4 linked regions of the Notamacropus eugenii genome follow. The protein of the gene in region 1 interacts with the protein of each later gene in a pairwise test. Links are inferred from orthologs where the notes say so. Each region holds a gene or a part of one and is shown on either strand. Other genes may lie near its edges. The genes, in order: HTT, OSTF1, EVL and ING5.

What was found.
Region 2: the proteins of HTT (region 1) and OSTF1 interact in binary tests that used the Homo sapiens proteins (3 or more experiments, as listed by UniProt). The link is inferred for Notamacropus eugenii from reciprocal best matches to the Homo sapiens genes HTT and OSTF1.
Region 3: the proteins of HTT (region 1) and EVL interact in binary tests that used the Homo sapiens proteins (3 or more experiments, as listed by UniProt). The link is inferred for Notamacropus eugenii from reciprocal best matches to the Homo sapiens genes HTT and EVL.
Region 4: the proteins of HTT (region 1) and ING5 interact in binary tests that used the Homo sapiens proteins (3 or more experiments, as listed by UniProt). The link is inferred for Notamacropus eugenii from reciprocal best matches to the Homo sapiens genes HTT and ING5.

What each region holds. Positions count from the first base shown.
Region 1 is NC_092877.1:53,267,165-53,274,420, reverse strand, and holds the start of HTT (huntingtin), read right to left. Parts: upstream 3,021-7,256; 5' UTR 3,009-3,020; coding exon 2,788-3,008; intron 1-2,787.
Region 2 is NC_092874.1:374,995,497-375,003,276, reverse strand, and holds the start of OSTF1 (osteoclast-stimulating factor 1), read right to left. Parts: upstream 3,019-7,780; 5' UTR 2,588-3,018; coding exon 2,554-2,587; intron 1-2,553.
Region 3 is NC_092872.1:355,478,115-355,485,306, forward strand, and holds the start of EVL (ena/VASP-like protein), read right to left. Parts: upstream 3,005-7,192; 5' UTR 2,744-3,004; coding exon 2,721-2,743; intron 1-2,720. UniProt on the Homo sapiens protein: Ena/VASP proteins are actin-associated proteins involved in a range of processes dependent on cytoskeleton remodeling and cell polarity such as axon guidance and lamellipodial and filopodial dynamics in migrating cells.
Region 4 is NC_092877.1:378,732,312-378,739,988, reverse strand, and holds the start of ING5 (inhibitor of growth protein 5), read right to left. Parts: upstream 3,011-7,677; 5' UTR 2,899-3,010; coding exon 2,862-2,898; intron 1-2,861. UniProt on the Homo sapiens protein: Component of the HBO1 complex, which specifically mediates acetylation of histone H3 at 'Lys-14' (H3K14ac) and, to a lower extent, acetylation of histone H4. Component of the MOZ/MORF complex which has a histone H3 acetyltransferase activity.

The sequences.
Region 1 (7,256 bases):
CTATAATATAAAGCTAGACTGATAGTCCATCAACATGTACAACTTGAACACTTAATTAAAATAAAAAACCGAGCCCAGATTGAACATGAGGAGATTGGGCTAGCTCACATTTAGACACTAATGTGTGCCTCTTAGTTGCACATTCCAAACTGCATATTGCCACAAATATCCATCTCTTTTAAGGACAGACATGATAAGTCATGTCTATAAATCATGATATGCCAAAATCTTGGAAGAATCAAATTATAAGTAACCCTAATAGCACTGGAAAGATTCATGATGGGTATAAAAAAAAACAATGGCATATTACTAGCAATGACATGAATATGAAAAGTAGAGCTTAAAACTCTGAGGTTCTACCTCACATAAATAAGATTAGCAAAAATAGCAACAAATGAAAATGGCAATTATTGGTCAGGTTATGGGAGATCAGGCACACTATGGACTGTTGATGGAACTGTAAAGTGATCCAAGTACTCTGGGAAATAATCTGGAACTGTATTTTAAATACCACTAGTGAGTGTGTGTGTGTGTGTGTGAGAGAGAGAGAGAGAGAGAGAGAGAGAGAGAGAGAGAGAGAGAGAGAGTGTGTGTGTGTGTGTACATCCTTTCACCCAGCAATAGCACTATTAGGCATATATCCTAAACAGGTCGAAGACAGAAAGGAAAAGATTCGCAAGGACAAATAATCATAGCAACACTTTTTCTTGTAGCAAAAAACTGGAAACAAAGTGGGTACACAGAAGAAAACAAAGCTCTGAAGGGGATACAAGCTGGGCAATTGCTAATTATTAAATTAAATATATTCTATCTTTCAAAGCAAATTGCCCATAATGGATATTCCCCTTCATATGCAAACCTTTTTTTTTGTACATTGAAATGTTTTGTGTCTGTGGGAAAATAATTTTATAGTAAAAATAAACTTTTAATTTAAATGGTGTTTTAAGTTAGCATCAGTGACTAGGACAAAAAAGTGGGCCAGTTGTATAGCCAAACTGACAGACCAAAGATGAATAATTCCCCTGCTCCCCCAGTATCCTTTGATACAAAAGAACCAGAGTCAAGTTCCTAGTACATTGGACAGATTTTCTAAGAGGGATTTATGTGAAGACACACAAGAATTTACAGGATGAAAAGACATGAGAGGTTTTGCCTGGTACTGGTGGAGAATGAAGTCACACCTATGGACATTTGGGTCCAACAAAGTAGCTAAAGTAATTTTCCATAATTATTTTTTCGTGAATTATTTTCTTACTATTTATAACAATATTATTACAAAGGTATAATACTATATTCAGGCCAATGTTCACTGACACCATCTTTAACCTTACTGATAAAAACAGGCAAAACTTCACATCAAGTTCTCAGCTTTCATGGTGGCCTATGTATTTCAGTTTCAATTAAGTAAATTCTCAAGAAAACAGAGCAGCAGACAACTAGGCAAACAGTCTATAAAAGGATGACATCTGTGACCAGTTTTATTTATTTTCTTCCTCCATGTGTTGTCTTCCCCTGTCAGAATGTGAGCTCTTTGAGAACCGGGATTGTAGCTTTTCTATCCGCAACCCCGGTGCTTGGAAGATAGTAAGCACTGAAACGCTTTTTCATTGCTTCAAATTGACATGTTTCTGTAACGTGCATCTCAGAATTATCGTACGTGCCAAGTCCAAGCAAGTTACAAACAACATCGGGAAAGTATATTCAAGATTATCTTCCTAGTCTTGTAACAATTTAACTACTGTCTCCAGAAGCATTTTTCTTTCCAAGAGAAAAAAATGGACTTCAGGAAAATTTTCCCAATACTTTCACTATTACCATCTCTCGTTTATTCAAAATTAAAATTCCTGAACTAAGAGTAAGTTCATCTCATTTTTACTATTATGTACTACAACCTATTCAAACTCTTACAGACCAGCATGGAAAGTGAGAAGTTGGGACCCTTCGTTATTGTCATCATCATGGTGACCCTGACTAGAATTTAACGCTCTACACAACTTAGTAACGAAGCCAAAACTCTCAGGTCCAGAAGAGCCACCCCCGGGGCTCGGCTCTAGCGGACGTCCCGGGCCCCACCCTCCGCCCCCGCCAGGACCCAGGTCTTGGGCTGTCAGAAACCCAGGGCGGGGACCACAACTTCCAGACTTCACTCCAATTCCTGAACCTTCCTTCCCCCCGAACTTAGAGAAGTGACGGGAACCCAGCAGAGAGCCCACGGGAGAGGGGAGGAGGAGGGGGGGAAGAGGAGGAGGGGGAGGGGGAAGAGGGAGGGAGAGGGGAGGGGGAGGAGGGGGAGGGGGAGGACGGCCGGAGGGGGAGGGGGAGGACGGCCGGAGGGGGTCGTCTCAGGTCTTCGAGGAAACGAGCGCGAGAAGCGGGTCCGCTTCCCAGCAGGGGAGCAAGCGCAGGGAGCCCCGGGTCTCCCGACGCTGGGGGGAAGGATGAGGGGACCCCCGGCTCCCTTCCTCGAGGCGCGCACCACGGGCCCCCTCAGCCGGGGGAGGAGACGCCAAGCTGGGGACAAGCTGAGGGGGCCCCCCGACGTCCCCCCTGGGTCTGGGAGGAGACCGGACGTCTAGTGCCCAGGAAAGAAGGGGGTGGGGCGAGACCCCCTCCCTCAAGCCGGGGAGGTGACAGGCTGAGGGGTGCCCTCGGGGCCAGGACCACAGGTGCTCCGGCCGCCAGCCCCCCGGAGCCCCACCCCCAGGCCCCGTTTCTCGGGGGCACCGGGGATCCCGGGAGGGGCCGGGGCGCCGCGCTCTCCCCGCCCGGCCGGCGCCAGCCACTCACGGTCGGTGCGCCGGCTCCTCCCCCCCGGACGGCCCGGGCTGCGGCGGCGGCGGCTGCTGGGGCGGCTGCTGCGGCGGCTGCTGGGGCGGCTGCTGCGGCGGCTGCTGGGGCGGCTGCGCCTGGGACGGCTGCGGAGGCTGCGCCGGCGCCGGCGGCTGCTGCTGCTGCTGGAAGGACTTGAGGGATTCGAATGCCTTCATCAGCTTCTCCAGGGTGGCCATGGCGGCCAGTCAGCGGGAGGCCCCGCGGCTCCCGGCGCCAGCCCAGGGCCCGGCGTGGCCCCCTGCGCCCTCCCCGGCGGCCCCCGGCCTCTCCCGCGTCTCCGCGGCCCCGCTCAGCAGCCGGGAAATGAATGGAACGCTTGGCAAAGACCCGAGACGGCGCCGAGCGCCGCCGCCATCTTGGAACTGTCCCGGCAGCCCCCGCGACGGGAAGCGGCCCTCAGCGCGGGGTTGAGCTGGGAGGAGACACTGACGCTGACGAGAGGGGGCACCGCGGGAGTGACAGCGAGGCAGAAACTGCGGCCGCCAATCAGAGGCGAGAGGCGGGCCTAGGCCCCGCCCACCTCCTACGGGGCGGGGCCCCACTGTAGCGCTGGCGGCTGCCGACGTAGGATGAACGTGGTTCTGGTACATTGAGAGGGGTTAAGAGATGCCCGAGGAAAGAGGGACTCTCTGCATTCCTCGGTCTCTGGAAGAAACTCAGCCGAACCTGTCCGAGAGTCGGCCTCATCCTCAGAGAGCTGCAAAGCCACACAACAATCCCATGAGGAAACGAGTACGGAAGGGGAAATTGAGGCTCAACAAGTAGAATTGGCCCTGGGCTAAGTGTTGAAGGTTGAATTTGAACCCAGGTCCTCTGAGGCGGGATTCAGCGTGTTAGCCACTAATATCGTCCCAACCTACAACAGAGCCTCCCCCACCCCCACTACCAGTCAAAAAGTTCTTCCCCATGTCTAACCTCCTTCCTTTTGTTTTGGAAGCAGCCTGATTCGACTCAAAAAGCAAGGCTTGCCTTCTTGCCAGGCCATGTATCAACACAGTTCATCCACACAGGTCCCTTTTCCCCGAGAAACTCACTGCCTAGCCTGGAGATGAGACAGGATAAAATCCAGGGTAGCTTGCTTTGTGTGCCAATTCTCCGTACCTCCTGTATATGCTGTCCTGTGCCTAGCTTGTTCGTACATATTGGATTGCTTGGGGTCCACACCACCCACCACCGTTAGATTGTAATTGCTCTGGAGAGCAGAGACTGTCTTTGCCCTTCTTGTATCCCCGGTGCCCAGCAGGAAGGGGACGCCTTATAATTTATTGAATGCTGCTGGTGTATTATTTTATTGGGGAGGGGGTGGCATAGAGAGGGTTAAAAGCTTCAACAACAGGAATTCCTATAGGAGCTAGCAGTATGTGCTCTCTACCCCCACCCCCCATCTCTTAATGGGGAGTTCTTAATGGGGCAGTGCCGAAGTTGGGAGGTGCACAGGAAATGATAAGAGGGGTACATGGGTTTATCCCAACCTCAGAAATGAAGGCAGATAGTGTGAGGAGGCAACTAATACCTTCCCTCTGAGGCAGGAAGGAGGTTTAAGGCATTCACCCTGTCTGAGCTAGGCACAAGGATGAGGGGACCCTCTCTGGAGAAGGAGCATGGAGGTAATTCACAACTGTCTAAGCAGCCCCTTGAACCAGATCTCGGAGCCAATGAGAAGAGGCACCGAAGAAACTGACAAGTAATCTGACTCTGGCAGAGTAATTAACAACAGGGGATAGAGGGATCATCCCAGAATCTGGAAAACTGCCAGACATCTGCTTCCATGGACAAGTCACTCAGCCTTTCTGAGTCTGTTTCCTCTTAGCTCCCAGGGCTATTCCAAACCTCAGAGGAGATGATATTATAAAAAACACTTCTCAAACTTTAAAGTAGCATACAGATGTAACTTATCACAGGGATGATAGAAGGTGGCCAGGGCCAAGAGGAACTTGGGAACTCGGAGGGAAGTAAAGGGGCAGCAGAAGCCATGAAGTGTCTTTTCCCCTGCTAAGAGGAAGTAGACTTTCAGCAAAGACAGCTGATCATACAGAGATTCAGAGAACTGCAGCTTTGTCATAAATGATAGTCTAAGAGGAGAGGCGCTGACCCAAAATATGACCCAGACATGATACAAGGCAACCTCCTTTTGCAGCCTAATGAAACCTGTGGACCCCTTCTCAGAATCATGTTTTTAAATGTATAAATTAAAATACATAGGATTACCAAGGAAACAAATTGTTCGTGAATCCCAAATTAGGAACCCTATCCCTGTCTTACACTTGAATTACATTGGCACTCCCAATTACATTTTAATCTGGTTTGAGCTGCACTTGAGAGTGGCCCAGTATTTGACTCCTTTGTCCTACAGCACTCTTATCAAACTTAACTATAAGGATCATATATATATATTCATATGTATGTAACTTAATTTTGAAATATAATATTGTCTATTTTTTTTTTTGCATTTTCATTTATTTTGTTAAATATTTCCCAACTGCATTTTAATCTGGTTCATACTGGTCCCTGTGTTTAATACCTCTGTCTTAGAACATGAATTCCCTTGGGGAGAATGTTTTTCTTTTCCCCCTCTGGCCCTTGAACTCATGAGAGACTCCTTGTTTGTTTTGAGGAACTCTCTACATAGTTTTGCTTGGTATCTGCTATGTGCGTGTGTTTCATTTAAATACTTTACTATTTGACTTGGGCTTCCTGCCTGGACTCTGCACTGAATGGGGATTTGAGCTGTACTTTTTCCACACAGTAACCCAAGGGATGAGGGTGTGGGTTCCAGAGTCCAGTAGGAAATCCATTCAAGTAGTCTAGCAAAAAGAGCTCTAGATTTCGATTCCCAGGACCTTTGTTTTAAACTTTGCACTCTGATACTTTGCCAACTATGTTACATCTCTGAGCCTTGTTTTATTCATCTACAGAAGGGAGATAATTATACTTGTACTTAATAGAATTGTCATGAGGAGAACAGTTTTTATCCTTTAAATGCTTTCTTAAACCCTAAAGCCCTGGATAAATGGAATTTATTATTTTTAAATGGTTATTTACTTATTTGTCCACAGAGTCCTCATCACAGCACAGAGGAGACCCTAGCAACACCTCAAAAGCCAACACCATTGGAACACAACCTCTGGTAGATCCTACAGATATGGAAAGGATAAAAAGTACAGGCCCAGTGATAGAATTAATGTCTCATGACTGAAGGTTTAGCCTCCTGGAGTTATTTTTTTTTAATCACAGTCCCTCATGAATAATGTGGAGGAATTTTGATCTTAATCTGGGAAGAGATAAAATCATGGGCCCCTGAAGTATTATTGTCTTCTCCCATTTCTAAATTCCCGTCCTACCAGGCCTTTATATCTTCCCATACACCTAATACAGGGCTCTGTACTTAGATTTAGAACTAGACTGGACTTCAGAGGTAATCTAGTCCAACTCTCTCCTTTCACAGAGAAGGAAAACGAGATTCAGAGAAGCAAGGAAATAAGTATTTATTAAACGCCTACTATATGCCAGGCACGGAACTAAGCATGTCATTAATATTATCTCATTTGGCTCTCATAACAACCCTGGGAGGTAGGTGTTATTATTGTCCCCATTTTACAGAAGAAAAAACTGAGGCAAAAGAAGTTAAGTGACTTACCCAGAGTCACAGAGCTCCAAAGTGCCCGAGGCTGGATTTGAATTCAAGTCTTTCTGATTCCAAATCCAATGCTGTATCCAGTAGAACCACTGAAGTCACCAGTAGTAATCATAGTAACTAAAATTTATATAATGCTTACTATGTGCTAATTATGATAAACGCTTTATAATTATTATTTCATTGGATCCTTACAACAACCCTGGGAGGTCAGTGTTATTACAAGCCCCATTTTACAGATGATGGAACTGAGGCACATAGGGTGAAGTGACTTGCCCAGAGTCATACTGGTAAGCGTCTGAGGCCACATTTGAACTCAGATCTTCCAGACACCAGGCCCAGTGTTCTAGCCACCATACCACGTAGGTAGTAATGGAAGAGCTAGGATCTGAACCCAGAACCCCTAACTCCAAATCTAGGGCATTTTTTTTCACTGTAACACTGTCTCCGTTCAGTGTACTTTCCATTAATAATTAGCTAGCATACATCCACTATTAGCTCTTAGCAAGGGCATTTGGTAAGGTAGATGTAGCTACAGAACATTGGCTCCATAAACATGGTACATTCTCCCACAAGTAGACAGTGTTCATGTGAAGAGTGGATTCAAACTTAGAGAACAATGGTGGTGAAGCCCACCTCTAGATCCAGGTGCGACAAAGTCAATTCACCACCCCTAGTACCAAAGGACCTGGAAGCCCTTTCTCTCATCATAGAGACCTCCTATAGCTTTTCTTGGTGCTCAGGTAGGTTCCCAGGGTCTGCTCCTCTTCACAGGTCACTTCATTTGCCA
Region 2 (7,780 bases), on another chromosome or scaffold:
CGTCAGTCAAAAACGTAGCACCCAAGGTGCATGAACTGTCTAACTGTAAAAGTGTATGAAGGAGTTACTTGATACTTTTAAACAGGGGTATAACAAAATGATCCGAGTTGTGCTTTAAGACACTAACTTTAGTAAGTGTGAAAGAGGGATTAGAGAGCACAGCAAACGAGGCAGACCATTTAGGAGTCTATTGCAATAGTCCAGTAGCACTGGGAACAGAAAGCAAGACAATGAAATAGTGATCCATGTTAGTGGGGCTTAATGGTAGTAGACAAATAGTGTCCATGTGAATGAGTACAATGACTCAAGTTTAAGAACTAGAGATTCCTAATCTTTCATAGAAAAAGAGGCTAAGTGACTGATAGATCCTGTACCATGATAATAATCCATTAAGCAAATTTGAAAAAAAAAATGCAACAGCCTTTTTTTTTCTGACTCATAGAGAAGGAACAGACATCATCACAGACATTACTTAAACTGTCTCTAGATCCAGAAGACCATTTGATCGATTTCCAGGACTTTTTTTTTTTTTAAATAATTGAGTGCCAAAGAATAAGACATTATTTTCATTTGATAAGTTGCTTTCTCCTGGCAAATAAAAATCAAATATCCAATGGCAAAATTTGATCTCTTGTCTAAAACACTTTCAAGTCCCACTGTTTCACTCTTAAGAGATAATGTGGGATAATTGAAAAGATGGGGGAACTGGGAGTCATGACACCATATATATGACCCCGAGCAAGTCACCAAACCGATTCAACCAGAGTTAATTCATCCATAAAATGGGTATAATTATAATAGTACTTGTTCTACCCTAGCTTACAGGATTGTCATGAGCAAATGCTTTGAAAGCATTTTCAGAAAACAGAAAACTTGAAATCAAAACATAAAAATGTTATTATTCACACCCAGTCTTTGGTCAAAATAATAAAGTCTACGATCACTCTTCTTTTGGTATGGCTTTCCTATCAAGAACTACTTCACAGTTTTAGGAATTCATCAGTGTCATCACCCCTCTGATGCCTCAGTCCCCCCACTGCCTATGTGGATGCTGCTTGGGAGTTGCCATGCCCAAAAAAATATCATTATCTGGTGCTGAGCCTGTGTCTGAAGTAGGCTGATCCTGGGACAACAACCTGACTCAGAATCCGTTGCCAAAATCACATGCAAAGCATTTCCAACATGGTAGACCATAATAGGACATATACATAGCCTGCAAGGCCTCCATACACCAGGAAGCACAGGGTTAAGATTTAGTAGGGTCTATGCAAATTTAAATCTCAAGAAACTTGCAAAAAAAAAAAAAAGCAACCAATAATTTTGAGAAGAGAGCAGCCTGGCTTAGCAGCTTAGCAGGGGAAGGGGCTCCAAGACAATGGTTCATTTGTCACAGACATACTGTGTGACCCTGGGCAAATCATTCAACCTCTCAGTGACAGAGACTAAAAATTTCAGAGAAACTGCCAATACACTGGTCAACGGAATCTCCTTACTGGGAGTACTGGCATTCACCAATAACATCACAAGGGTAGTAATTTTTTTTTTTCAAATAAAAGGGATTTACGGTACTCTTATTTCCCATTTTTTTAAAGGAGGAAAATTATACTATGTTTGAAAACACTATAAATTTAGGGAAAAAATACAATAACGAAGGATGTACAGAATAAAACCAAATCCTTGACATTCCTGAACAACAATAGAAAACATGTATTCTGAACTTTGAAGATGCTTTTATTAAAGTTCAGCAAATCCCCCGATTTCGGAATTCCGACTTACTCCATCATTCATCAGTATCCTACTGAAACACACTGGATTCAGAAATCAGCTGTCCCTTTCCTTCCTCTCTCCCAAGCGCACAGAACCCTTCGGTAGAGAGGATAAAAGTTTACTAATGAATAAGGACTATCTGCCAGGGTGCTTTCGGAGGCTTCTCTCCACTCGGGAGGGCAGGCTCCGCTTCCCCCTCGCCCCCGCCGCCCATATTCACCCCGAAGCCTTGATGGCGTATGTATAAAAGTGACAGCTTGGAGCCGCAATGGCCAGGGCTGCCGGAATCCTTCCGGCCCTGAAGCATTAGGCCGCTGGAGCTGACTACAGGCTTTCCAAAAATGAAGCCGAGATCAATGGAGTGCATTTGCTCTTCCTTCCGGAGACGTCCCGCAGGACTTCATATACTTACCTCACCTCACCCCACCCACCCATGCACTTCCCACTTTTGGGTCCGTCTTGACTCTTGACAAGGATACAACTCCCCCCCCCCCCCCCAAAAAAAGGGAAGTATCTTTAAAAGTCGTTTGGAGAATTTTTTTAAAGGTATAATCAAGCGATTGACTTTATGTTACAGACATCCCCCCAGGAACGCTGCAGAGCTGCCAGTGCGTGCGCTCACCCCCAGATCTCAAAACTCTTGTCATCAAAAACAATCCTGTCATTTCTTGAACTTAAAAGTCATCGATCACCCTCCAAACTGGTTCGCTCTGTAAAGAGAAGAGGGCTCGGCGGCAGCGCAGGGAAGCAGGGCAGCCTGGCACCCGGGTGGAGCCCCTCCCTTACCTGGCTTGACGGGCTTAGGGGGCGGCTTGGACATCTCTCCAGCCGGGGCGGCGAATCCGAAAGGCCGGGGAGGGAGAAGACCAAGTACAAGTCTGAGTCCGGCTCCTCGGCCGCTCTCTCCTGCCCAGCCCACCCCTCCTCGAAGGGGAAGAAGACTGGAAGGGGGGCTTCCTCCAAGCGGTGCTCAGCGTCCCGAGCGCTCGCTCAACGAGGAAGTGAAGGCTACCTCAGCAAACGCTAATTGGCTCGCGGGCCCCGAGTGCTCCAGCGGCTGCAGCGGCTCATGCACGCAGCAGGGATGCGGAAGCGGCGGCGGCGGCAGAGGCGGCGGAGGCAGCCCAGCCCCAAGCCGAGCCCAGGCGGGACGGAACGGGCCCGGGAGGGAGCGCGCGGGCGAGCGCGGGCACGGGCGGCGCGCCCCACCTCTGAGCGGGCGCGGAACCCGAGCTGGGGCCCCGCCCCCAGGCCGGAGCCGGAGCGGAGGGTCAGCCGACGGGACTGGACTGCGCGCTGCCTGCGGCCTGCGTGCCTCGCGGCCGCCCCGGGAAAGTGCCGGAGCCCCCCGGCTTTGGTGTCGAGGGTCTGAGCTGATCACCCGCGCTGACGGTCTGCCCTGAAAGCTGCTCGTACGCTCTGGGGGACCGGTGGCGAAGTGGTGCCCGCCCGGGACTACCTGCCAGGTGAGTACCTGATCGGTGCGGCGCTGCGCCTGCGGGGTCTTCACCCAGGTGCTCGCTTGGCCACCGCGCCTCCCCCTTTTAGGGGTGCCTCAGGTCGCACTTTTTCGAGGAGAAGGTTGTTGTCACCATGAACATTCCACCAGGAGAGCTGCCGCCTGACGTGGGGAATAGAGGAGGCAGAAAGACCTGGGTTCGAGTCCTGTCTTTTACACCTCGTGGGCAAGTCTTTCAGCCTCTTGGTGACTAAGCAACTCTGCGAAGTGCAAATTACCTACAATGACCAGCCACTTCATTGGTGGAGGGAATTTCCACATGGCGTGGTTTCTTCCCAAACAAACGAGATCAAGGTTCTCTTCTTCTGTCACCACCACCCCCTCTGTAAAATAAATGATTACCTGGCCTTCTTATGTAAGACCTGATGGTAGGGGTGGGGGAAACTTCCTAATAATATAAGCTACCTAGGAGTTGGGCTGGTTCTGTTGCTAATAAGCTTATAAGCTCCTCGCTGGACCCCTTCCAGCAACTGGTTTTATATTATATATATATATATATAGTGTGTTTCTGTTGTGGAGAGGTTTACTTTTCAACTATGAGTTGGACTAGATTGCTTCTGTGACTTTTAAACGTCTAAGGCTCATAAATTTAGAACTGAAAGTAACTTAGAGGCAATTTGGTCCAGCCTTTTGATTTTGAGTAGGAGGAAACTGACTTGCCCAAGGTCACTTAAGTAATGAGCATCAGAGGTACAATTTTCCCCCAAGTCCTCTGACTCCAGAGTCAGTCTCCTTTCCATTATATTATTATTACCTCCCAAAATGTAGACTATCGGTAACTACTAACTGGTATGCTTTCTTTCCTGTCTCTACAAAATTTTCATGAATATAATCTTCAGATGAACTGGAAACATCCTTGTTGAAGGTATGAGGAGGTTACAGGCTTTTCCAAATTCTACAGCAAACTGCATCTGTACAGTCACATTTGACTGAATATACCATGGAAAATAAAAGATCCCAATGTGCTTGTTATTTGACAAATAGAGGGGAGAAAAAAGCAAAATTTCACTTTGAAAACTGCTCCAGTGAAGCTCTTGTATACATAAATACAGTTTGTACAAAATTCCTTGAAACACCTAACAACAGAAGCACTAAATCAGATTAATATCAAGCAGGTCAGAAAAGAGGCAGACATTCTCACCCAAGGTATTTGCCAGTATCATGTAGTACAGTGTCCCAATGAAAAAAGCCGTGCCCTACAGATGAAGAAGTCTTCTCAAAGTCACCCATTTGCAGGTAACATTCTGCTGAGTGCATCAAGCCTTGCAGCATTTTGCAGTGCTCCTCCCCCACCCCAACAAGATCCATAATCCCTTCTGAAGCTTGGGTTTACAGTTAAAAAAAGTGGATGAAGCACACCTGTTGTTCGGTAGAAGTCATCTAGTTAGATGGCCAGTCCATATTGCTGATCCATCATTGTTACATTGTTGTTCCATTGTTGTTGTCTGCTTCATTCTTGAAGAGGACCATGACATTAGGAAGGTGATGCCGTAACTTGCAAGTGAATAGGGTTTAAGTGAGTGAGGGCTGTGCAAGATCACCAGCCTCACTTTCTCTTCCAAAGCCATCTGGATCCAGTGGCAAGATACAGATACAAGATACAGGAGAACTGGAGATCCCACCTCCCTCATCGTTACATTGTGTGTGTTAGTCTTTCGTTGCCAAAGAAGACCATGCCTTCAGAGAGATGATGACATGACTTGCACTTGACTTTGTTTTGAGTGAGGGAAGGCTATGCAGGTCATCAACCTCACTTCTCCTCCAGAGCCATCTGAAACCAGTGACCAGATATTCAGCAGGATGACTGGAGATGACCCAGGATGAGGCAATTGGGGTTAAGTGACTTGCCCATGGTCACACAACTACTGAGTGTCAAGTGTATGAGGTAAGACTTAGGTCCTCCTGACTCCTGCACTGGTGCTCTTTCCACTGCACCCCTAGCTGCCCCTCATCATTACATATACCTTGGCCAAAAACTGGGATTTGTTAATGAGCCAGGCCTAGAACTGAGTAGAGGGAAGGAAATATGGTAGATTACCTTTGGAAAAATTGTGTAGTGCCTTTGATGACCCTGAACTTCTCTCAGAAAAAAAAAAGCCTGTTATTTTTACTCCAATATTATTTTTTATTAAATTAACAAATAATCATCCAATATGAATATTAATACAGTTGTACTTTGCATGAATTGAAAATATATTAAAGATATCCTGTGACACCCATGCAAACAGAGGACGGGGAATGACCAAACAGGCAAAAAATGGGGGGAGGGAGAGTGGACCTGTGGCAAGTAGAGGGCTGAGGTTAAATTTTACCGCAAATTGAGTATGAGTGAGCAGTGGCCTGCTGTTGTGAAAAATGCCAACTAGAATCATGCTTTCACTATATGCTGAGTTTAGAACAACCTTATAAACTTTTTATAAATATACTTCAAATGGGATGTGGAGAAACTGAAGCAGGACATAATAATAGTAACAAGGATAATTAGAATGGCAAATAGGTCTTAACAGTACAGTTTAAAACAATTGGTATTGTTTTAGTCTAGAGAAGGGCAAAGCTAAGATGTGGCTGTGATAGAAGCATGGGGTTTTGCTTTGTTTTTTCAACATAGGAAGGCTAAGCAGGTATTTTCCACATCTTTGGAAGACAAAACAAGTGGAAATTGACTTACAGGAAAATGACGAAGATTGTGATTAGACATAGGGAAGAAACAAATTGATTATTACAGTAATAAAACCGTGGAATCACTCATGAGAGGTTGAACTCTCTTTGATATACTGAAGAATGAAGCATGAAAAGGTATTTTTTCAGTGCCATCTATTTTTAAGATATTGTGCTAGGGGATGTGAAAAATATAAAGAATATGAGATACTCACCACAACTTATTTTCTAAACCTTTTCCAACCTCCCAAGGTTCCATCATCCCCCACTCTTTCAGCTGAAAGCCTTCACTTATCTTTCACCGAAAAATTTTTCTAAAAAATATTTGCTGAAAGCTCACTTTTTTTCTCTTCATGCCATATCACCTCGATGCTTTCTGCCACTATCTCTTCCTTCACTCCTGTCTCATATGAAGAGGTGTCCCTTCCGCTTGGCAAGGCTAATTTTAGGTGTGCAAGTGATCCCATTTCATCCCATCTTCTGTAGCAGATTGCTTCCTCTATCATACCAATTGCCTCATTTGTCTTCATTCTCTGCCTGTTTACTGCCTGCTTATATACATGTTCATATTACCCTATTATCAAAAAACTGTCACTAGATCCATCCATCCCCACTATCATCCCTTGTCTCTCCTTCCTTTTTTTAACATTTTAATTGTATTTCTTTTTAAATTCTGAGTTCCAAATTTTCTCCTGCTCATATCCTCCCACATCCACTAAGAAGGTAAGTAATATCATATCAATTATACATGTGAAGTCATGTAAAACATATTTCTATGTTAGCCCTATTTTTTTTAAAAAAAAAAAAGCAAGAAAAATAAGCGGAGAAAGTTATACTTCAATTTGTACTCATAGTTCATTGGTTGTCTCTCTAGAAGCGGATGGCATTTTTTCATCATAAGTCCTTTGGAATTATCTTTTAACATTGTATTGGTCAGAGTACCAAGTCTTTCACAGCTGATCATCATTACTACATTGGTGTTATTGTGCCCAGTGATCTCCAACTTCATCCCACTTCACTTTTCATCTGTTCATATAGTTCTTCCCATGTCTTTCTGAAATCATCTTCCTCATCATTTCTTATAGCATAATTATATTATCGTAGTCATATGACACGACTTGTTCAGCAATTCCCCAATTGATGGGCATCCCCTCCATTTCCAATTCTTTACTACCACCAAAGGAACTACCATAAATATTTTTGTACATATAGTTCCTTTTCCTTTTTTTCTTCTCGTTGGAATACAGGCCCAGGAGTGGTATTATTGGGTCAAAGAAAATGGACAATTTTATAGCCATTTGGACATAGTTCCAAATTGTTGTCCAGAATGGTTGGACCACCTTATTATTCCACCAGCACTTCCATTAGCGTACCTATTTTTCCCTCATCTCCTCCAGCATTTGTAATTTCTGATAGATGTGAGCTAATACCCCAATATTTTTCTGATGGTACAATGTGACTACAAGTCATGGAATACCACATATAGTCTCTGAAAATTCAAACTGCAGGTCACCCAGAAGGCTATGAGGAGGCCCATGCTGAGTGTAAATAGATCGCAAGGTACCTCCATTGCTGCCATCAGAGATATACGTGACTGAAAAAGAAGGTATACATGGTGAGGACAGTAACTAACTACTGCGCCATTGGTATCTGTGCAGCATCAAGAGACCAAGAGGAAGGCCTTTGATATGTCTCCTTGTGGAGAATTTTTGGGAGGACATGGATAAGAGTCATCCAGGATGAGAAGCTGTGTAGGGGCTGGGATCTACTTCAATGAAGGGAGCACCCACAGTGAAAAGATCCATCCAGTCATCAATCCATCAAAATATCGAAGCA
Region 3 (7,192 bases), on another chromosome or scaffold:
GAGCTTAGTAGAACTCAGAGTTCATCTAATATGATCCATCACCCAAATCCTCTCTATACAATCCCCGACAAGCACTTGAAGAGCTTTTGCAGTGATGAGAAACCCACTATCTCGAGAAGCAGCCCATCCTACATTTGTATTCCTCTAATTGTTCAGAGGGTTTGAAGGACTATCATTTGGAGGAGGGACTTGTTCTGGTTGGCCCCAGAAAGCAGGAGCAGTGGGTGGAAATAGCAGATTTAGGTTTGAATTGGGGGTTGGGGGAGGAAAAAAACCCTCTGAACAATTAGAGTAATACAGTCCCTTCTCACACCAATGTCTTTTGTCCTGCCTCTGTCTTCTCAAGGCTAAGCACGCTAGCTCCTTCAGTTAAGATTCATTCAGATTGATTTTGGCCTCTTTCTTCTTACTGGTAGCCCTCCCAATCTCAAACCAATCAACATTGTTTCTCAAATGGGTTGCCTAGAACCGAGCACAATTCTCCAGGTGTAGTCTGATCAGGGCAGAGTGTGTAGAGAACTATTTCCCCAGTTCTGGGCACTAGGACTAAATCCACTTTATTGCCAGGACCTTTAAGAGTGGAAACAGGTTTGAATACTACATTATATGCATCCCTTCCCACCCTCCTCCATCCCCCAGCCAGTATGGTATAATGGAAAAACTCTAGGTTTAAAGTCAAAGGATCTGGGTTTGAATCTCCACTCCACCATTTATTCGCTATTTCCTGTCCCTGATAGTCATTATCTGTGTAACCTTGGGCAACAAGTTAGACTCGAACTAGGTGGAGTTAAACTAGATGATCTCAAAAGATTCTTTCAAGTTCTAAAGTGACTAAAAAAGTGTCCCTAAGTGCCTAGCACAATGCCTATTACACAGTAGGTATTTTAATAAATATCTGTCAAATGAGTTCCTGTTATCATTGAATGGACTGTGGTTAACAATGCTCTGGCAACTGCAGTTACACAGCATTCTAACGGATTCCAGGAACACCCCTTCACTCAGGCCAAAGAAACCTGCTGGCAAGTGTGAAATGCCACCAGTCCTCATTTCTACCATTGCTTACAGAAAATAGTCCTTGAAGTATAAGACCAGAGTTTCCTCACCATCTATGACCTCTTTCTACCCATAAGAATAAGCCTTTCCAATTTCTAACTTTAAGGAGCAAGCCTCTTAAACACAACACAAACTGAAATCCTTGAATCTTAAGAGCCAAGTTTATGGAAAGACATCTATAGCCCAACCTTGTAACTCATTTTCCTTGTCTGTATGAAAAGGGTTCCTCCCTCTTTCATTCATTCCCTCCCTCACTCTTATAATTATTATATCTACTAAGGTGGTTGTTTTGTGATTATTTTAAATAAGGGGATAGGGTTGTAGCATTTTGGGAAATCAGATAAGGGTTTTGTGATGATGGCTGTAAAGCCGTCAAGGAGACCCTGTAGATTGGAAACAAGGGACTTGGATTCATCTTAACTTTGCCATTTCCTGGGTGTACACCCTTAGATAAATTACTTAAACTCATTGAACCTCAGTTTCCACATCTGTCAAATGAGGTAATAGATCAGATAATCTCTAAGGTCCTTCCATCTCGGTCATCCTTTCTTCTATGGTTCCATCGTCCCTGCTTGCACTGTCATTCCATGGTCTATGATTCTAAGGTCCCTTTCTTGCTCTGACATTTCATATTGTGATTCCAAGGTCCCTTCTTATTCCAACATTCCATGTTCTATGATTCCAAGTTTTCTTCCAGTTCTGACATCCTGAGTCACTAGTCTTTCCAGCTGTTTTAATGGTTTGGCTTAGTATAAAAATAAAAAGTAAATCATTCTCAGAAAACCAGAGGCTAGTAGAGGTCAGGAATCCCAGCAAACACACTCCTTCATAAGCTCACAAGAGGTGGCACATAACATAGAATCCATCTGTTTGCCTTTTCAGCCCTACCCTCCTTAATTTTCATTTCGCCCAAACTACCCTTCCCACACTGATACTCAGAGATGGGTTCTCTGAGGAAAGAGGGGGCAAGTCAGCCTCACAAAAGATGCTAATTTGGAACATTAAGAACTGCAGCAGCAGCTGAACCGCTTACAAACAGCAAAGAGAAAGCCTGCTTAGGGAAACCCTTCCAACAGGCTTCACCCAGAGCTCCCCAGCCAGGAGATTATTATTAAAAATAACAAACATCTGATGAAGTCAAAGCCAAATCTCAGCTCTGCAGACTTGCCAAAATTCTCCGGCTTCAGCTACCACCATTAACATTCTTCTCATCCCCCACCTCCCCACTTTATTTATTTATTTTTGAAAGGAGCATCATTCTCTCCTGGGTTTGACAAAGGGTGGACCGATGTTGGGCTGCTTGGTATTCAGAGCCCTACACCGGCATCCAGGTGGATCTTAATCAATTCGTGCAACGGAAAAATCAGTTATCTGGCTATCACTTCAGCCTTCACTCAGCATCCTTTCCCTGGATCCCGGGCTTTCCATCTCCACCCGCACCCCCCAACCCTAATCTCCCCAAACCAAATCTCCCTCTAACCCGCCAACAAATACCGAAGTCAGCCCTGCTAGCAAGCAGCAGCAGCGGCCAGATCCCAGAGTGTCATTACACAGCAAACAAGAAGAAAGAAAGAAAAGAAAAGAAAAGACAGACAGAAAGACAAAACACCCAGTAAGCTCAGAACAAAAAGCCAGGCTCGGGCTGATGCAGGGAAGCGGGAGCCTACCTGAATTCTTCAAATGCAAACATGGCCTAGTCAGAGGCAGCTTCCTTGGGATCCACGGAAATCTCCCTGGCACGGAGGAAAACCATTTAGTTAGCGAGGCGGGCTGGCGGCGGCGCGGGTGTGGGAGCGCGAGCAGGAGGCTGGCGTTCTGCAACGTAGGGCCGGGAAAGGTTTTCTGCAGACACACTGGCCTGCGGCCTCGGGCTCCGCCAGCTGCTGACAAGGAGCAGCTAACGGGGAAGGCAGGAAGAAAACCATGTGATCAGCTCAGCAATTCTGATGAATGCAGCACCCTGGGAGCTGCCTTCTTCCACAGCGGTGGCAGGCAGGTTCTGGGCAGGACCCGACTGGGCCACGCGCTCAATCGCAGATCGATGGGTTTCAGCACCACACCTCCCCCTCCAGGGTTGGCATCTCCAAGGGAGGTGGGGGTTGGGGGAGTCCAGAGAGAGAGAAGGAGAAGCCAGCCTTTGTCACTGTCATCTGCTGGGCTAATTGGGGGAATCCAGCCGCAGCTTTCTGGTCTTATTGGGGTAGTGTGGCTAGCCATGGTAGTGGGGGCTGTTTTCACTAGGAGCGGCTACGGACATCCAGCCCGACTTGGAAAAAATCCTCAGAAATCTGGTGCTTCTGCAGAGAGCTGGTCATGTTCCTTCTCTGCTCTTAAACCTTCACTGTCTACCCCCTGTCCCCCAAGTTCAAGACCCTTTCCCTAGGACTCAGCATCCTTTGCAATCTGGCACCACCCGGATGGCGGGAGTTCCAATTTTGCCTCAGAAGTGAATGAGCTGAATTTGCTGTGAGTCTGCACTAGTCTGCGCCTTCTCTGAATCTCAGTTTCCTCGTCTTTAGAATGAGAGGTTTGGACTCAATGGCCTTCCCTTTCCAATCTTTCCTCACCTCTCTCTCCTTCAGCTCAATTGTGCTCTCTGCTCGGAATATTCGCTACGTCTCATTCCATCACTGAATCCCTACTCATCTTTTTAAGTTCAAGAAAAGGCATGGAGGAATAAGAGCACACATGTTGAGAAATGATTGTGTGTACACGTGTGTTTGTGTGATTTTAAGATTCCTCTCAGATCTGACACTCAATGTTTCTATGATCAAGTAGGTATAATTGGATAAGGTCATGGAAAATTCTCCAGAGCCAAATTTCACCATTACTAGTGATGATGATGATAGCCCCACCCCCCCAAAAAGGAAAGAAAAAACTTAGTAAACTTAGAACAAAAACCTAGGCTCAGATGCTAGAGGAAAGCAGGAGTGTACCTGAATTCTTCAAATGCAAACATAGCCTACTAGGAGGCAGTTTCCCTTGGCAATCACATAAAGAATTTTAAATGTCATTTTGAGTTTTGTTTCTTACACCTTTCTTGCTGTCCAACCGCTAAACAAAACCAAAAGCCACTCTGAATGTTGTTTCAGGGTAAAAGAAGATTGGGAAATTTGTTAAAATGTGAATATTTACAAAAAGTCTAATTTTTCAAGAGCATATGGCCTTGAGTTGAGACTTTATTCCGAGCCTCCTGATTGGCCAGGTAATTTCATTAGTATAATCACTAGGTCTAATATCCTAGGAGAGGCAAGTAGGTAGCTCAGTGGATAGAGAACTGGAGTTAGGAAGACCTGAATTCAAATCCAGCCTCGATGTGTGACCCTGGGCAAATCACTTAATCTCTGATTGCCTTACAAAATGGATCCATTGAAAAAGGGAATGGTAGATAAACCACTCCAGTATCTTTACCAAGAAACCCCAAATGGAGTCATAAAGAGTTGGAAACAACTGAACAACACAGTAACATCCTAAGAGAAAATTCAAATGCCAAGAATTAGTGGGAAAATGGGGGGGGGGGGAAGGGAGGGGAATGACATAGTTAGTCAGAAGCAGAGCTGACACTAGTTTTTGACTCCTAAACCAACATTCGTTTTGCTACTCTACCCTTCTTTTCCTCCCAACTCCGCCCTATTCCGGAGTCTCTCACAAACTCACTGCATGACCTCAGATAAGCTGCTACTAGGGGAGATCACAGAATCATTGATTTGGAGTTAGAATGGCCCTTGGGGATCTCCTTGTCTCTCCTCTCATTTTACAGATGTGAATTCTCAGGTGCTGAGAAGTCAGGTAATTTGCCCAAGATCACATAGGTACTAAAGTGACACAAGGTGGAATCCAAACTTGGGTCATTGAACCTTAAATCCATCACTCTTTCTCTAGCACCACTTGGGTCAGAGTAAGAACTTCAAATCTCAAGTTGTCAACCAGCGTTTTCCATGTCCTCCTGGAAAATATACTTTGATGAGGGGTGACCAAGTCTGACCTCCAATGGGGTAGCCATAACATCTGCTTCCATTAGATTGTATGACCTAGTCTAGAAGACAAAAGATTAAGTTTTTATCTCGCCTCTTTTTCTGGGTAGTTTTATGACCTTTGGCAGATTTGGGAGGGTGTGATAGAAGTATGTGAGATGTGCAGCACTTAATTTTTTGTGCCTCAGTTTCCTCTTTTGTAAAATTGGAATATTTAGGAAGTCTGTGGAGGAGACTTCATTCCATGATACTACTACTTAACTCTAACTGGTATAATTAGATTCATTTCCCCAATCCACCTGTTGTCAGATGAATCATTATAGAAACATGATGGAAATAACAAGCAGGGACTGAACCAGAGGCAACATCGATATCTATGGCTAAAAGCCCAGGAGAGAGGGCAAAAGCATCATAGAATGGGAAGGCTCTGGGGCAAGGTGGTTTGAACATAATACAGAACTGGGTACTATTCTATTTGATCTGGGAGACACAGGGGAAGAATCAATTTTTCAGCACCAATTAATCAATTTATTAAGAGCCTACTATGTGCCAGGTACTGTACTAAGTGCCAGGGATACAAAAAGAAGCAAAAGACAATTCTTGACCTCAAGGAACTTACAATCTAATGTGGGATACCACATGAAAACAAATATATACTGAAGAGTTGAAATTTCCTCCCATTCTTTTTTCAAATAATTTCTAGGACTGAAATAAGTAAAATATAAATAAAAACCAGGTCTAAAAGGTAGCAGTTCGCTCAGACAGCTAACAATCTGTGTGAAAAATGTAGAAAACCGTGATGATTTTGATCGTGTCTTCAAATATAAGAGGGGTCATCATGGGGAAGAGGGCCTATACTTATTCTGTATTATTCCATAAAACCAATGTTGTTCAGTTGCTTTCAGTCGTGTCCAACTCTTCATGACCTCCTTTGGGGTTTTCTTGACAAAGATACTGGAGAGGTTTGCCATTTCCTTCTCCAGCTCATTTTACAAATGAGGAACTGAGGCAAACAGGGTTAAGTGACTTGCCCAGGGTCTCACAGCTAATAAGCGTCTGAAGATGTCTTCCTGACTTCAGGCCCAACACTCTATCCACTGCAACACCTAGCTACAGAACTAGGACCAATGAGCAGCAAATTGGAGGAAGGGAGATTTCAAATAAAGAGGAGAACAAAAAACCTGCCTAATAATTCTAGCTGCCCCACAATGTGATGAGCTTCCTCAAGAGGCAGAGGTTCCTTATCACAGGAGATGTTTAAAAGGAGGTCAAGTGGACACTTGGTGGTGATGTGTGGCATCACTGGGCTGTATAACCTTTAAGATTCCTTTGAACTAGAAGATGCTATGATTCTTAAAGTCTAAGTTCAAGTTGAAGTGTATAAGGAATACATTAGCCTGTCTGAGAAACTAATCAAAGAAGCCCAGAAATCCCTGTCAGAGAAGCTGAGTTACTCTGTAAATATAAGACCTATAGTTACAACCCAAAACCCCTTTGCCTCCCCCTCCTCTGCCTCCTCTTTCTCCCAATCTGAATTAGCACCAGTCCATAGGTTCAGGCTTCTCAATCACTTCCCCTAGTGTTTATTCTGGTTTATTTTATTAGACTTACCTAAGAACTGGTCAAAACTCACCAGGCTTTACTGTTATGGAAGAGGGTGCCCTAGGTGGGGTGCCCTATTCCAACCAAGAGCCCAGATCTGTCCTGTTTCTATAATTCTCCCTGACTATCCTTTATTTTGTAAGCATGTCTGTTCAATAAAGATGTTTGCTTTATTGTCTTCTTGGGAGCTTCTTGTTCCCATCTACTGGGTCTGGGTATCACAAACTTTCCTGTATCTGTATTGACAAGGTGCCACCTCATCCATGAAGTCTTTCCTGATCCTTCCAGCTGAAAAGGATCTTTGTCTCCCCCAATTTGTTTAAGAGCATTATGTCTGCATATCTGCCCTACTGCTTATCATACTTGACCTTGTATCATACTTATTTGCAAGCATGGCTTATCTCCTCTCCCCACTTTAAATTAGGAGTTTCTAATGGGCATGGGCCATCACCAGTTTTCTTGATTTATGTCTTGCCTTTCTAGAGGAGAAAGTGAGGCTGGTGACTTTGCACAGCCCTGCTTCACTTAAATCGAAATCACTTTTAAGTCAAGACATCACCCTC
Region 4 (7,677 bases), about 330 Mb from region 1:
GAAAGACACATGCTCAGAATGTAAAAAAGAGGGAAAAGGGACAGAGAATAGGAATGAGAGATCAATGAGATGAGGACAAGAAAGCACCTGACGAGAGAGCTAGAGGCAAACTGGAAACATTAAAAGAACTGAATTACTCAAGGGGAGTCTCATCATGCCAAAAAGAACTACATCTGAAATGCCTGTGGAAGGGAGCAAAGGCAGTACTAGAATACCGCTCCTGATCCATTCCATTTGCCATCATGAATACTCTAGGGGACAAGGAACATTCCCCCCAAGTTCTCCAATGAACAAGCACGTGTGTGCTGGGGATCCTCATCACAAAGGCACTCCAGATGTCAATGGTTTATAGACATGGAAAAACGGAGGACATGAGAGTGAAGGGAATGAAAGGGGGAACCAAAGAGACCCAGAGAGTTCTGTCGTCTAGAAAGCAGAGAAAGCTCAGGCCGCTCCTCTGGTGCCATCCCTCCCCTTCCCCATCAATGAAGCCCAGTTCCTTTCTGAGAGTACTAATCTGCACTCACTGCTGCTCGTGAGGCATCCATCACCTGGGGTCAAACTGGGAGCTCTCTGAGTGATGTCCAAAGACTTAGTTCAGTCCAGAGGCTCATCATCAGGCTGGCTACAGGGGAACCCCAGGAACTCCTGAGGACTAAGTGAGAGAGGAGGTGCAGTGCTTTGGTGAAGGAAATACCCACAACATGGACAAAGCCACAGGTGCCATAACCATGAAGGAGGGACCGAGAGCTCTACACATACACTCTCTTTTCCAATAATGCATCATTTCCCCAAACAAGCCGGTTGTAAGCAAACTGCAGGTGGTCCTGTTTCTTCCATGTGCCAGACCCTCCTGAGGCAAACTGACTGAACTGGAATCGGATCCTCTCTCTGTGCCAGGCAATCACAGCCACTTCAGGACTGGAAAAGGCCTTAGGATCCCTCATCTTATAGATGATTGGGACTATACAATCCCATCCCTCCTCCTATAGAGGAGGGGGAGTGACAGAACGGAAGCTTTCTTAAGGCGGCCCGCTCCTCTGTCCTTCTCTCCACAGCCCTTTCGAGCCAGGTGCTCCTGCAGTGCCATTCCCAAGAGACTGGCAGCAGTGGCTGGGCTCCACCCCCAACAGGTCCTGCTTCAGACAAGAAGGAGGAGCTCAAGGCTGAGAGCAGAGGGTACAAAGGCAAAGAAACCCCTTGGTCTTCCCCTTTATAACACAGTAAGCACCTGCCCAAGGGCTGTTCACTTCATGTGAGAGGGAAGGTAGGGGTGAGAGTGGGGTGGAAATAAGCATTTATTAAGCATGCTACTGTGCCTCAAGCACTGTGCTAAGGGTTTTACATGATTTCTTCCAAGTTAAAAATGACTTGAAATTAGCTGACTGAGGAAATGGTATACTGTTAACAAGTTTAGAAGCAATGGCACTGGGGCGTATCAGAGGGCATCTAGCCTAGCTCCTCCTTTTAGGGAGGAGGAGTGACTGGCCAAGGTGGTCCAACTCCAACTCCTGGGCTCTCCCCTGGTCCTGCTGCTTTCTAGTTATGCCAGCACAGACACCCCCACGGTCAGATGACCATGTGAGGAGGAGACATCACCCAGCCTGTGAGTCGGCAAGCACACAAGCCCCGGAGGCAGCCATCTACCGGGCACCCAAGGGGGCATGGGGGCGCGGCCCGGGGGCACCCAAGGGGGCACGGGGGGCGCGGCCCGGGGGCACCCAAGGGGGCACGGGGGCGCGGCACGGGGGCACCCAGGGGGCACGGGGGCGCGGCCCGGGGGCACCCAAGGGGGCACGGGGGCGCGGCCCGGGGGCACCCAAGGGGGCACGGGGGCGCGGCCCGGGGGCACCCAAGGGGGCACGAGGGTGCGGCCTGGGAGTTCCTGGCGAGGCCACAGGAGGGTGTGGGGGCAGTGGGGGCTCCTCGGGTGCGTCCCCAAGGAGCCAGGAAGCTCCAGACTGAGGGGGGAGGAAGGCTGGTCTAGACCCCCCCAGAATGGGCCTGGAACCAGGGCGGCGGAGGCGCCAGGCTGTCCCCACGCGCTCGGACGCCGTCCGGCCTCTCCACAACGCGAGCTCCCGCCTGGGAATCCAAGCTGAGAATCGGGAGCCCGGGATGGCGCCCCAGCTCCCTCCGAGCTCCCTGCATTCTAGGTCTCTCCGGGAGCCCAAAACAGTCCCCTGGCTCTGGATCCATGGACCTAGCACACGGCTCCAGCTCTAGATCCACCGACCTAGAACGTTGTCCCAGCTCCAGATTCATCAAAGGGGCTCGCCTCCTAGTTCTAGATCCATGGACCTAGCATTCCCGGTCCCCAGCTCCAGATCCATGGAACAACCTTTCTCGCGCTCTCGCCAGCGTTCTAGGCTCGACGTGCGCTCCTCGCTCGCCAGGGGGCGCCAGGAACCGCCGGGGGGCGGGGCGAGCTGGTGGAGGCAGCGAGGGGGCGTGTCCCGCGGGCAGTGACGCCGCCGGAGTGGCCTAGGTCGCCATGGTGGCTGCGGCTCCGCCCCCGCCTTACGTCACCTCGCCCCGCCCTCCCCCCTCGCTCGCTCGCCCTCCCTCCCCTCGCGGGACGGTGACGCACCTCTTAATTCCCGCCGAGCCCGCCCTCCCGCCTCCCGTGCGCGCGCCCCCGCGGCCGCCCCTCCCCTCGCGCGCGCCCCCGCGGCCGCCCCCGTCCCCGCCCCTCCCCCCGGACCCCCTCCCGCTCCGGGCCACCCTTCCTCGCGAGCACCCCCGCCCTCCCGAACCCCGGCCGCTGCCCCCGCCGCGAGGCCCCGCGAGGCCCCAGCGGCGCCAGGCACGGCGCTCCCGGCCCCGACCCCGGCCCCGGCCCCGGCGGCGAGCCGACTCACTGTCCAGGTAGTGCTCCAAGTACATGGCGGTCGCCATCTTCGTCCTGCGGCCCCGGCGGCGCGTGTGTGGGCGAGGGTGGGAGTGAGCGAGCGCGCGGGCGCGAGAGCGAGGGGGCGGGGCGGCCTCACTGTGGGGCCGCCGCTGCCTCATTCCCTATTCATGAGGGGCGCCCGCTGATTGGCCAGGGCGCTCAGCGCAGGGCGGGCCCCGCCCCTCGGCAGGCGGCGCCCGGCGGCGCGCGAGCATGGCCCGGGAGGGGCGCGCGGGCTCCGGGCAGGAGCGGAGCGGAGCCGGCGAAGCCTGCCCGCCTGCCCGCCTGCCCCGGGCGGGGGCCGGGCCGGAGCCAGCCCGCCAGCCCGGTGGGCTGCACGTGCCCGGGCCGCGGGGAGGAGGGGAAACCCGGAGAGCCCGGGCCGACCCCGCCCCGCGCACAGGAGGGGCTCCACGCAGCGCCCCCGGGAGGTTGTCCCGGGGAGAGCGGAGAGGAGAGGGTCCGGCTTAGTCCGGCTCAGTCCGGCTCCGGTCTTGCCTCCGGGGGGCTCCCGGGCCAGCCCCCTGCGCCCCCTCCCGCTCCGGAGCGGGAGCCTCGTGTGGGTGTGACGGCTCCGCACGTGTGCGGCTTTGCGGTTTGTCCTGCCAGTGCACACGCACACCGCACGCACATGCACACGTGCGCACACGCACGCTCAGTACACGTGCACCAGCACACACAGGCGCGCGCACATGCACACATACATACGTGCACACACACGCACATACACTCACACATACACACGCGTGCACACACGCACGCTCAGTACATGTGCACACAGCACGCACAGGCGCGCACATGCACACGTACATACATACGTGCACACACACGCACATACACTCACACATACACACACGTGCGCACACGCACGCTCAGTACATGTGCACACAGCGCACACATGCACACGTACACACGTGCACATACACTCACACATACACACACGTGCGCACACGCACACATGCCCCTTTTCCCCCACCAGAATGCAAGTTTCTGGAGGTCCTAGCCCGCTCGCTCCCTCGGCCTTGGGTCCGCCACGCCCGGCCCGGCCCGCCAGGCCCGCAGCAGACGCTTCCCAGGTGCTGCCTGACTGATGCGTGGCCCTGGCCAGAGCTCCGCCGGCTCATCCGCTGGTCCTCCCCAGGAGTTGGGGGCCTGGCCCCTCCTCTCTTGGGGTGCCCCGAAGGGAGGCAGTGTGGTCCGGTGGATGGAGCCCTGGAGGTGAGGTCCCTCCTCAAACGCTTAATAGCCGGGTGACCTTGCCCAAGTCACTTCCCCGCTTCTGCAGCAGTGGGGGCACTGAGGCCCGCTTCCCACGGTAACCGTGAGGGTCAGATGCTGCACAAGCCGAAGAACCTGACATAAGTGGCCGTTACCGCCTTCCCTCCTCTCCCTGATACACCGAGATGCTCATGTCCTGCTTCACCCACTTCGCACATGAACGAATGAACCTTTCTGAAGGAAGCAGAAGGGGCAAAGCCCTGGGCACGGAGAGAGAAAAGCCTCCCAGCCCGCGCTCTCCTGGGCGAGCACAGACGCTGGTAGGGGGTTTCAGCGTCAGGTCGGATGGAAAGGTCCCATGGCCCTCCACTGGGCCTTGTTGGTGCCATTGCCACTGATAAAGCTGTACCTCTTTCTGGTTTCAGACAGGCTGGCGCTGCTGAGGATGCGGGTCTTCAGTAGCTGCAGGGGCTCAGGGGTGCAGCTCCTGTAGAGTCAGATACCTGTGAGCAGAATTGGTGGGTTTGGATGGTCCTGCCATGCCTGGGGCTCACAGGCTTATCTGGCCATTGGTGGCCGTTGGTTGGGTTGGGGGTGTCAGGATCAGGATTCAGAAGTCAGTTCCTGTCTGCAGCTACTACCTCTCCCAGCCCCTTTTTTCTCGGTTCTCCCAATCCCTCACCCCTGCCATGGCCTCCCTTCATAGACACGACCCAAAGGTTGATAAATCCAACCTCAATGGTCCAGGTCTCCTCAATTATGGCCACTGAGCTTCCTCAGGCACTGCTGAATGCCGCTAGAGAGGGTCAGGCAGCCGTGGCAGCTGGATTACCAAAAAATTCATTATCAGATATCCACTAGGCCTTTGCTGCCACCCTGGGACCCTTTAGCTCTTCCCGGATTATCTGTCATTCTCTCCACAGTGGCTACTTGAACCTTCCTCTCTCCTCATTCCTCCTCTGCCAACCTTCCCAAGCCCCTCTCAACAGACCTCAGCTCCTACTTTACTGAGAAAACGTCACCCATTGTGAAGACCCTCCCCTCCCATACTCCACACCTCAGATCTGCTCCCTGGCAACCTCTGCTCTCCTCTCTGCTTTAATCTCTGATCAAGAATTGGCCAAGGCCCTCTACTTGTACCCTCCATCCTTTTTCTGGCATCAGATCAGAATGACTCCCACCTTTACCAAAGGCCTTTGGTGTAAGTCTGTGATACCCTTTTATCCAGGCTTTCCCTGAATGAAGGGACCCTAGAACAGCTCCCTCCCCTGCCCATAACAGTCACTGTCTCTGTGGGAGACAGAGCAGAGCTGGCTAAGAAGTCAAGCAAAGCAGCAGGAAGACAATAGTGGTATCTGTGGAAGCATTCGGAAAGGGACATCAGAAAAGTCGATCTCAACAGAAGCATTTCTAACATCATTCAGCAGCTTTCCTTAGGTCTGCTTGTATGCCAAGGTGGCAGCTCCTAGCATGTAGCTGTGTCTTTTCTCAACAGAGAGAGGGGAAGGTCCCCCGCTCCCTCACCCTCTGGGGTTTCACACATTTCAGTCTGGAGGATGGGGCTGCTACCGCAAATGTCAGCTTGGAAGGGAATGTTTCTGCCTTCTCATGCACTGAGACTTAGGCACCCTAGGTTCATTATAGACAGGGCTTCATTACCTATACACACAAGGGGTGGTGTGGTCCAGTTGTGTCCAACTGTGTGACCCCATGCACTTTTTTGGCAAGGGTACTGTGGGGGTTGGCCATGTCCTTCTACAGTGTGCCCCCATTTTACAGAGGAGTAATTGAAGCAAATAGAAGTGAAGTGACTTGCCCAGGGTCACACAAGTAGTCAGTCTGAGGCTGACTCCAGGACCAGTGCTCCATCTGCTGCCCCAGAGCAAGGGTGATGGAAAGGGCAGCCTGGAGGGCCCCAAGTTCCCTCTGATTGGCAGGTGGAGGGTGGATCTTCCCAAGCTGGCTTCTGCAGAGGGCTCAGAGCTGCAGGCCGCTTCCTTTTCCCTCAGGGCTTCCCTTGGTTTCCTTTCCACGAAGCAGAGCTTCCTCTTGTGTGATGTTTCCTCCATGAGCCTGGAAGCCCCTTGATGGCAGGAACTGTCTTTTTCTTATTTGTTTCCCCAGTACTTACCACAGTAAGTGCTAGCCCAGGGGCCTTACTCCCCTGCAGTAGCTGACCAGTTTACTCCCAGGAGTCCTGAAGGATTGTCCTGGGGATCACAGACTAAAAGCTGAAAGGTTAGCAACTGTCTTGGACAACTCTCTCATTTTACAGATGAGGAAGCTGAGGCTGAAAGACTTGCCCAAGCTTGCACAGGTAGAAGGGACAGAGCCAAAGTTTGAACCCAAATCATCCAAATCCAAAGATGGCATCCTCCCCACAACATTGGTTTAATGGATTCTAATTCCTGCTGGCAGAGACCACTCCCAGTGCAGATCATGCACACTGTCCTCACCTAACTTGTTGCTTAGTGAATCAACAAGCATTCACAAAGCTCCTACTGTGTGTCAGGAAATGTTCTAAGTGCTGAGGAAACAACAGTGACTCTTTGCCCCAAAGGAGCTCACATCACCTGGGTCTTTGAGCTGACTTAGCAGAAAGGGTCAGATCCCCTCTGCCACATGGGAGCCATGTGACTTGAGGAAAGTGGCTGGCTGCTCCTCTCCGATCCTCCCCGAAGGGCTTCTGAGCTCAGAAGGCTGCCCTGAGGATTGAAGAGAACTCACCACCACTCTCTAGGGTGTCAGGGCTCATGAAGCCCTTTCTCATTTCCTGGAGACTAGACTTGATGGTGCCACTCAGTGGATAACTGGAAAAATTCAGCTCTGCATGAGAGCTACCTGAAGACTCATCAGAGGAGAGTTGGTTTGGTTTGTTTTTTTAATGAGGGTATAATAGACCCAGGCAGCTAGATAGCACAGTGAATAGAGCACTGATCCTGAAATCATGAAGAACCAAGTTCAAATCCAGCCTCCAACTCTGTGTGATCTTATGCAAGTCACTTAACATCTGCCTCAGTTTACTCAACTGTAAAGTGTGGATGGCACCTACTTCACAGGGTCATTGAGATAATCAAATAAGACAGTGTCTGTGAAGCACTTAGCACAGTGGCTGACATATAGTAGGTATCTAATAAATGCTTGTTGACTGAGATCAGACATCATTAAAGCACTTTGATCTCCTTACAATGCCATAAAAATGGCAATGATTACTACTATTGCTATCATCCTCCCCAGGTTTAGTGTAGTGGCCCAATTCAGCTGTTTAGCTCAATTCCATCCTTAATTTCATTCTTGAAGGCTCAGAAAGACAGATGGAATGTAGTACAAACCTAGCCTCCTTTTTTCATTACAAGCATTCTAATGCCCTACTCTAAGAGTCTGGCCACAAAGACCCTAGAAGGAGATCTGAGCTATCATTTGGAAATAACTGGAAGAGGGAGGGACTGATGCTGAGACTGTTCTTACTTTTTCTATCTTAAGTATTCTTTATTCCCTTATCAAAGAGATTTCAAATAAAGTTATTCTTTTCTTTAGTAGACCAGCCTCAAATACTAGATAAATAG